2 linked regions of the Rattus norvegicus genome follow. The protein of the gene in region 2 binds, or shares a complex with, the protein of the main gene of each other region. Links are inferred from orthologs where the notes say so. Each region holds a gene or a part of one and is shown on either strand. Other genes may lie near its edges.

Evidence for each region.
Region 1: the proteins of Stat2 (region 2) and Irf9 are in contact, whole or in part, in a crystal structure (PDB 5OEN), measured with the Mus musculus proteins. The link is inferred for Rattus norvegicus from reciprocal best matches to the Homo sapiens genes STAT2 and IRF9. Residues at the interface, in NP_064347.1 of Mus musculus: Arg163, Gln164, Lys166, Asp167, Glu168, Asp170, Val171, Phe174, Arg175, Thr177, Val178, Phe179, Leu181, Lys182, Asp188, His190, Gln191, Gln193, Gln194, Leu197, Thr201, Lys204, Met208; in NP_032420.1 of Mus musculus: Leu206, Leu208, Tyr212, Leu233, Asp234, Arg236, Ser244, Glu245, Ser246, Ser247, Met248, Asp270, Arg271, Leu274, Val275, Ala276, Asn278, Ser279, Arg280, Phe283, Val284, Gln285, Leu287, Cys313, Glu315.

What each region holds. Positions count from the first base shown.
Region 1 is NC_086033.1:33,068,332-33,072,597, reverse strand, and holds the end of Irf9 (interferon regulatory factor 9), read right to left. Parts: intron 3,585-4,266; coding exon 3,240-3,584; intron 2,294-3,239; coding exon 2,178-2,293; intron 2,050-2,177; coding exon 1,939-2,049; 3' UTR 717-1,938; downstream 1-716.
Region 2 is NC_086025.1:1,290,069-1,293,874, forward strand, and holds part of Stat2 (signal transducer and activator of transcription 2), read left to right. Parts: intron 1-70; 5' UTR 71-77; coding exon 78-208; intron 209-326; coding exon 327-477; intron 478-704; coding exon 705-800; intron 801-1,321; coding exon of another isoform or gene 1,322-1,336; coding exon 1,337-1,429; intron 1,430-1,521; coding exon 1,522-1,597; intron 1,598-1,987; coding exon 1,988-2,073; intron 2,074-2,298; coding exon 2,299-2,450; intron 2,451-3,806. UniProt on the Homo sapiens protein: Signal transducer and activator of transcription that mediates signaling by type I interferons (IFN-alpha and IFN-beta).

The sequences.
Region 1 (4,266 bases), on a different chromosome or scaffold from region 2:
AGCCTCATCTACAAACCCAAGTTCCAGGATAGCCAAAGTTACACAGAGAAACCCTGTCAAAAAAACCAAACCAACCAACCAACCAAAACTCAAGTAGGCACTCAAATTTCAGTGAACAGAGTACCAAAACATGGCTATCCAAGACAGGGTCAAGCTGGCCTGGTGTCAGAGGCAGGCAGATTCTGAGTTCCAGGACTGACAGGGCCTGACACTGCTACACCGTGAGGCTCTGTCTCAAACAAACAAATGAGTCAGGATCCCAGGTAGCCCAGATAGCCCTCAGACTCCTGATTCTGATCCCCTACCTCCACTTCCCAAGTACTGTGATTATAGGCACGAACCACCATGCCTGGCCTAGGTCAGATTGCCTTTTGTGGGGCTCAGTAGAGAGGAATCCAGTTTAGAAGTGCCCGCCAGTCACACTGAGTGTTACCAAGGACGAGCATGTCCCCACAATGTCTGCAGCAGCAGACACAGGAAGACACAGCAGACACTGCAACTCTTCCCTCAAGCTTCCTTCCCTCTTATGTCCTGGAAGTTTGGACCACAGTTCCAGTGTCTCCTCCTGGTCTAGACTTCTAGTCCGGGGACCATCCCTATTCAGGCACATTCCTGAAGCCCTAGCAAAACACTGTGCAGCCACAATGTCCCACATGAAGTTGGCGGCTCCCTCAGTTACCTTTTAATGCTATAGTAGATACCATGACCAAGGCAACTTAGGAATGACAAAGTTTAATTTGGGGCTCACATTTCTAAAGGCTTAGAGTCCGTGACCAAAACGGCAGTGAACACAGCAGCAGGCAGGCAGCCAGGAATGGTACTGGGGTTGAGAGCTTACATCTGATTTACAAGCACGAGACACAGAGAGTGTGCTAGCAGGGAAACCTCAAAGCCCATGGCTAGTGACTGACACACCTCATCCAACGCCACACCTCCTGACCTTTCCCAGGTGGGTCCACTGAGGACCAAGAATTCACATATGAGCCTATGGAGGCTAATCTCATTCAAACCGCCTTGTGGCTATAGTGCTGTCTGCCTGTAGGCAACAGTGCCTGTCTTAGAGGTTGACCCCAATCCAATCTCAGTTGCCTGTAACTTGGGTGGGGGCCCCTTACCCTCGAAGTACCAGGTCAAGTCTGAAAAAAAAAGGGGGGCGGGAAGGTCAACTGGAAAAAAGAGTAAAGGGAGGGAGACATGGGGGTACGGCCAGGCATAGTGGTGTACACCCAGAACCCCAACACTCAGGAGGCTAGGGCAGGAGAAATCACCATGGGTTAGAGACTATGGCACTCTGGCTAGGCCCAGAAACACCATGTGACAGAGAACCCAGATACTGGGTACCTTGGTCTCCATCTTAACCCCTGCCACCCTCTCCTAACGAATCAGATCCTGATCTCTCTCTCTTAGTAAGCTTTTATTTACTGTTTGGAGACAGACAGTATCACCAAGGCTGGCCTTGAATTTGAACTCACAATCTTCCTGCCTCTGCACATACACTCCTATGTGCCGAGTGTGTACTACCTCACCCAGCTAAATTTTATTTTATTCTAGTGAGAACTGAGGGGGGAAATATATATTTATATATATACATACACACATACATACAGCTTAGGTTTAGAGTTAGGGATTGGGAGGATAGCAAAATTTCCTCTGAGATCACACCCTTTGGAACTTTCCAGTTTCTTAGAAATGAAAGAAGATATAGCTTTAGAAAAAGGAAATAGAAGTCTCCCCCAGGTTGTCCTTGAACTCATAATCCAGTGCTGAGATTATGAATATCCACCAACGAGTCTGGCTCTCAGAATAGTTTTTGAAGATAAAAGTTATCCTTGCACTTTCTCTTGGCCACATTGGAAAGCCCACAGTGATAAGAATCATCACGAAAGCAGGCAGACCAACGGTGTGGAGAACAAGTCTATTTCAACGGGGACCCGAGGATCAGAGTGCGAGAGTGGCAGGTTGGTGCTCTGTGTGCTGTACCAGGAACAAGGCAGCTTTCTCCTCTTCTGGAATCTTCTCTAGTAAATTTCGGGCAAAGGCCTGCTCCATCTGTGCAGGAGGAAGTGAGGAGCGGCCTCAGTGAGCACTGTAGGGACAGCCACCACCCTGCAGCCCCTTCCCTCAGGGAGTTATCTGAGACAAATCATCACAGAGCTCCATCCCGGGGCTGAACTTACCCGCACCGTGATAAGATTCTCTTGGGTATGGCTAGAGCTAGGACTCCTGTCCCAGAAATGCAGTGTTGCTTGGTACTTGGGTAGAGGTCCCTGGCCCTGGAAGTACTGGGCCAAATCTGAAAGAAAAAGGGTCAAGGATTGGAAGGAAGAAGGCAAGGCATGGCAGTAGGTCAGGCATGGTGGTGTGCGGCCAGGCACGCTGGTCAGGCTGAGGTTGGCAGAGTCACCACATTTGAGGCAGCCTGATCTACTTAGTGAGTTCCAGGACACCCAGAGTGGTATGAGGACTTGCCACAAAAGCAAAAACAAAAAAGATAGAGGGCCATGAGTGAAGTGACACTGCCTGGGGAGCCAAACGCAGAGAAAACTGGGATGGGGTAACTCCGGCACCCAGGGCACAGCAGAAACTGTGGTTTGGTGCTGCGAGGAACTAAGCTGTTCTCCCTGCTGCTGCAGGAAGAGGCAGCCCCTTCCTGCAGTTCACAGGAGCAGATGCTCCTGCTGAGAGGCTCGAAGTCCTCAGAAGCAGCAGCCCTGCCTACCAACCCCTTGGTTGCTTGCCTGCTCTCCCAATACTAGGACAGCACTCTGTCCTCAATGTTCCTCTCTCCACTCCTCCTCGCACATTTAGAGGCTGTGACTGGAATCTCGAGAGTGGACGGGAGAAGGAACAGTCCTAGAAGATGCTTACAATATGGCAGAGAGATGGGAGAGAGGGGCAAGTGTGGGTAAGGTGTCTTGGCTCTTCCACAGAGCTGTGTTTGCCAATGTCTGAGGAGTCACAGGGCTTAAAAATCCACGCAAACTAAACTGTACAAATTCACTTAACCACGCTGCTTCCCCAAGACGTATCACTTAAGAGCTCAACTCCAGCTGACCCTCATCTACCGTGGCCTTGGCTAGGGGAAGTCTGCAGAGTGGAACAATATGGCTACAGAACATGTGTATCACACAACGCAGGGGTCCCACGCAGTGAGGATGAGCTGCTGGGGAGGGTGGTGGGGAAACCCACCGGGCGCACAGGATAACGAGGAAGGGGAGGTCGAGCCGGGACACCCTTACCTCTACAGAAGTATGTGGTACTGAAGAGCTCCACACACTTATTGCTGGGCAGCAGATGAGGCCCAGGCCCAGGTGGGGCCTCGGGTGCGTTCCAGGAGATGGGGATGGGGCAGAGGCGCTGAACAAAGAGGCCTCTGGAATTGCTGGCCACCAGGATGCCTCTCTCGAGCTGATTCAGCAGGCTCTGGGTGGGCTCCAGTGGGTCAGGTCTGGGAAACACCACCTGCTGCACCATGCTGCTCTCCGGGTCTGAGGGCTCAGCCACAAGCCGACAGTCTAGGCTGTGCACCTGGATCTCATGCACCACGCGCCCGCCATAGATGAAGGTGAGCAGCAGCGAGTAGTCTGGGGACAGAAAGGTTCAGGAGGAGCCCTGAAGGCTGCTGGGAGGCCCTCTCCCCCAAGGCAGCCCAAGTAACAAGGCTTTAGAAAAGGGAAGCTCGTTTTGCTAATGGGAAAACTGAGGTCCAGAGCAGGAATCCAAGAAAGCACTGGGAGAGAGAGCAGGGCTGAGACAGCTCCTCCTTTCCTAACTAAAGGTTAGGGAAGGTTCCTTTCATCTGATAATGTGGCTCAGTGGTTGCCTACCATGCTTAAAGCCCAGGCAAGGTTCAATCAGCATAAACCCTTAGGACCCAGCATGCTAGCACATCTGTAATCCCAGGAAGACCAGGAATTCAAGGTCATCTTTAGCTACAGTGCTGTCAGTCTGCCGTCATGAGGCTGTCTTTAAAAAAAGGAAGAAGAGGGCTGGAGAGATGGCTCAGCGGTTTAGAGCACCCGACTGCTCTTCCAGAGGTCATGAGTTCAATTCCCAGCAACCACATGGTGGCTCACAACCATCTGTAAAGAGATCCGATGCCCTCTTCTGGAATACCTGAAGACAGCTATAGTGTACTTATATATAATAAATGAATAAATCTAAAAAAAAAAAAGGAAGAAGAGAAAAGAAAGGTGCCTTCCTTCTCCACATTGATGCTTTCCTCTCTTCCCCCATCACTTGGGAGTCATGCCCATTAGAACTTAA
Region 2 (3,806 bases):
AAGCCAAGAGACTATGAATGATTTGGTCCAATAGAATATCCAGCAGAGAACGGATGTCTTTCCCATTCAGAGTCCAAATGGCGCAGTGGGAGATGTTGCAGAACCTTGACAGTCCATTTCTGGACCAGTTGCATGAGCTCTACTCACAAAGCCTCCTGCCAATGGACGTCCGACAGCACTTGGCTGCCTGGATTGAAGACCAGAACTGGTGAGGACTTGGGGGTTCAGGTGGCTCCTTCTGAGCACACAGGGTCCATCCTCGAGATGTCCTGGGCGATCGCAGAGCAGCAGGTTGTTTATGGAGCCCTTGTTGTGTCGGTCCCCAGGAGGGAAGCTGTACTAGGCAGTGATCATTCCAAGGCCAACATGCTATACTTCAACATCCTGGACCAGCTGAACCAGTGGGACCACTACAGCTTGGACTCCGACTACCTTTTATTACAGCATAACTTGCGAAAATTCAATCGGGACATTCAGGTACTTGGAAGAGCTGGGAATAAGAGTGTGGGACTAGCCTTTGAGTCTAGAGTAAGAGCTGGGAGACAGAGTCTGGACATGGGGTGTCACTGGCAGAGTAATGGACTGAATCTAGATTCAGGGTCTATGAAGGAGAAAAATACTGGAGACACTGAAGGCAGGGTCTGGACTGGGCGGTCATTAAGGTAGTTAAATGGGACCGTGCTTCTGTTTTTTTTTCTACTTAGATGTTTCCCAATGGCCCTACCCAGTTGGCTGAGATGATCTTCAATCTTCTCCTGGAAGAGAAAAGGATTCTGAATCAGGCCCAAAGAGCTCAAGAGGTAAGAACAGTGTGGTACTGAGAGATGGCTTAGTGGTTAAGAGTGCTGACTGCTCTTCCTGAGTTCAACCACAGTGGGATCTGATGCCCTCTTCTGGTGTGTCTGAAGACAGCTACAGTGTAGTCAAATGAAAAAACAAAACAACAACAACAAAAAAACAAATAAATAAAATCTTAAAAAAAGAAAGCAAGCAAGAAAGCCCCTGGGACAGCAAGGCACCTGGCAGAGACTCAGGGAACTCCTCTCAGACCAGGCTCTCCCCCACACTCTGCAGTAAAATTTCAGGTCCTGATATTAGGGATGAAAACTCAAGAGTTCAGGTGGGAGTGGGGTGTGTGACCCATACCATTAATCCCAGCATTTGGGTCCCACAGCTTTAATTTGAGTCACAGAGGCAGGTGGATCTCTGTGAGTTTGAACCCAGCTTGTTATATGTCATGAGTTCCAGAACAGCCATGGCTACACAGAGAAAGAAACTCTGTCTTAAACAAACAAACCAGTCAGAGTTCAAACATGTTCAGAACCTCTTACTTCAGATGCAGCCCAGGCCAGCCCCTGAAGCGGCAGGGGAGAGCCAGCAGCAGCTTGAGATTGAAACAAGAATCCTGGATTTACAGACTGCTGTGGAGGTTGGTGGCTGTGGCAAGTGTTGGGTGTGGAGTGGAGATCGAAGCTTTTCTGCCCTCAGAAAAGCCTCACTGGGGTCCCATCTCCTCCACAGGCGCTGGTGAGATCCATCAGGCAGCTGAAGGATGTGCAGGATGTCTTCAGCTTCAGATACACAGTTCTCAATCACAGTAGGTCCACTCAAGGGGCCGTCTTAGGGGCCAGTGGGAAGGACAGCAGAGGCTGGGTGCTCCATTGAGCAGTGGTCACCTAGGGCCCCTTATGTCAGCGTCAGTAGTCCCATCGATATGTAAGGCAGAGGTGTGGGGTGTGTTGTGGAGGGCAGACTAGAGATGTGATTGAGGAATAGTTCGCAAATGGTAGAGGGATTGTGTAGTAAACTGCCTTAGCAGGTTGAATGGGCTTCTGGTCCATCCAGAATTTGCCTGTGGGACTCCAGGTGTCTGTACTTTCTCTGGTACTCCCTTCCTCCCCATCCAGCATTTTCAGTTTTTGACTGAGACCCTGGACAGAAAAGAGCAGAAGGAACATGTGGTCTGAGTTTTGGTCTTGCCTTTCAGAGAAGACATCGTCTTTGGACCCCCATCAGAGCCAACAGCGGCAGCTTGTGCAGACAACAGCCAATGAACTGGACAGAATGAGAAAGGTGGGGGCTGGGCACAGAAGGGGCAGCAGAGGGGGTTGAGGGGGCAGCAGAGGGGGTTCAGGGGGTATCAGGGAACTGGGGGGCAGCAGAGCGGGTTTGGGGGCAGCAGAGAACTGGGGGAGGGGATCAGGGGGCTATGGCCTCACCATCTTAGTTTCCTGTTCTCTTCATCGGCTGGATGGGGGTGGTGAGAGGTACTTAGCACTCATGAGTTCTCCTTCCTAGGAGGTGCTGGACATCTCCAAAGCCCTGGTTGGACGATTAACCACCCTGGTCGACCTGTTGCTGCCAAAGCTGGATGAGTGGAAGGCTCAGCAGCAGAAGTCCTGCATTGGAGCCCCAGCACCCGAGCTGCAGCTGGATCAGCTGGAACAGTGGTAAGAACCTCGGGGGCTGGTGCAGTGAATGGAGGACAGTGGAGCTCAGTGGGAGAGTGCTCCTCTGCACTCCCAAGTCCTGGGTCTGATGTCAGCACAGAAGGAGAACAGAGAGGCAGGAAGGGACAGGGAAACAACAGCCAATGATGCCTCCGTGTCTTCTGCCGCTTCTCTGGTTTGACTGTGACTATATACTCTGCTGTACGCTGTCCTCGCCACTCAGAGAGTCCTGGTCCAGTCTTTGCTTTGGTAAAGAAGCAAAGGAAAGTACTGGGTTAATCCGGTCTACCCTGTTTTGTTTGCTTTTGAGACGATGTCTCACTATGTGGCTTTGGATACCCTGGAACTCACTGTGTTGACCAGGCTGGCTTTGAACTGACCATTTCTCCAGCCTCTGTCTTCCCAGTGTTGGGATTAAAGGCATGGGCTACCACACCCACTTAATAAAATAAATCCTTAAGAGAATAAGTGGAATATTATAAAATGTGCATTAAAATGCTCCTTAATGATTTATTTTTATTTGCAGGTGAGGTTTTGCCTGCATGTGTGTGTGTCTGTGTGATGGTATTAGAGACCATTGTGAGCCACCATGTGGGTGCTGGGATTTGAACCCAGATCCTCTTGCAGAGCAGTCAGCGCTGAGCCATCTCTCCAGACACCATTTCTTTTTTTTTTTGGTTCTTTTTTTCGGAGCTGGGGACCGAACCCAGGGCCTTGCGCTTCCTAGGTAAGCGCTCTACCACTGAGCTAAATCCCCAGCCCCAGACACCATTTCTTTAAATTGTCTACTGTCTACTACTGTGTGTCTGTATGATGGGGAGAGCGCGCGTGCGCGCGTGTGTGTGTGCGCGTGTGCGTGTGTGTGTGTGTGTGTGTGTGTGTGTGTGTCTGTGTGTGTCTGTGTGTGTGTGTGTGTGTGTGTGGTGTGTATAGAGCTCAGAGGAGAACTTTGTGGGGTTCTCTACTGACATCTTTATATGGGTTCCAGGGACACAACCCAAGTAGCCGGGCCTTCTTTTTTTTTTTTTTTTTTTTTTTTGGTTCTTTTTTTCGGAGCTGGGGACCAAACCCAGGGCCTTGCGCTTCCTAGGTAAGTGCTCTACCACTGAGCTAAATCCCCAGCCCCGTAGCCAGGCCTCCTTGATGAGCACTTTTACCCACTGTGCCGTGTCTCAGTGCCAGCGTATCTTCTGAGGCTTTACAAAGATGGTTGTGAGCTGAATGTGGTATTGGAGACTGGTAATCCAAGTCCTAGGGAAGCAAACACAGGAGAACCAGAAGTCCGGGCTAGCCCTAGCCTGGAGTATATAATTGGATCTTTGGATCTTGCCTTGAAGATACACACACACACACACA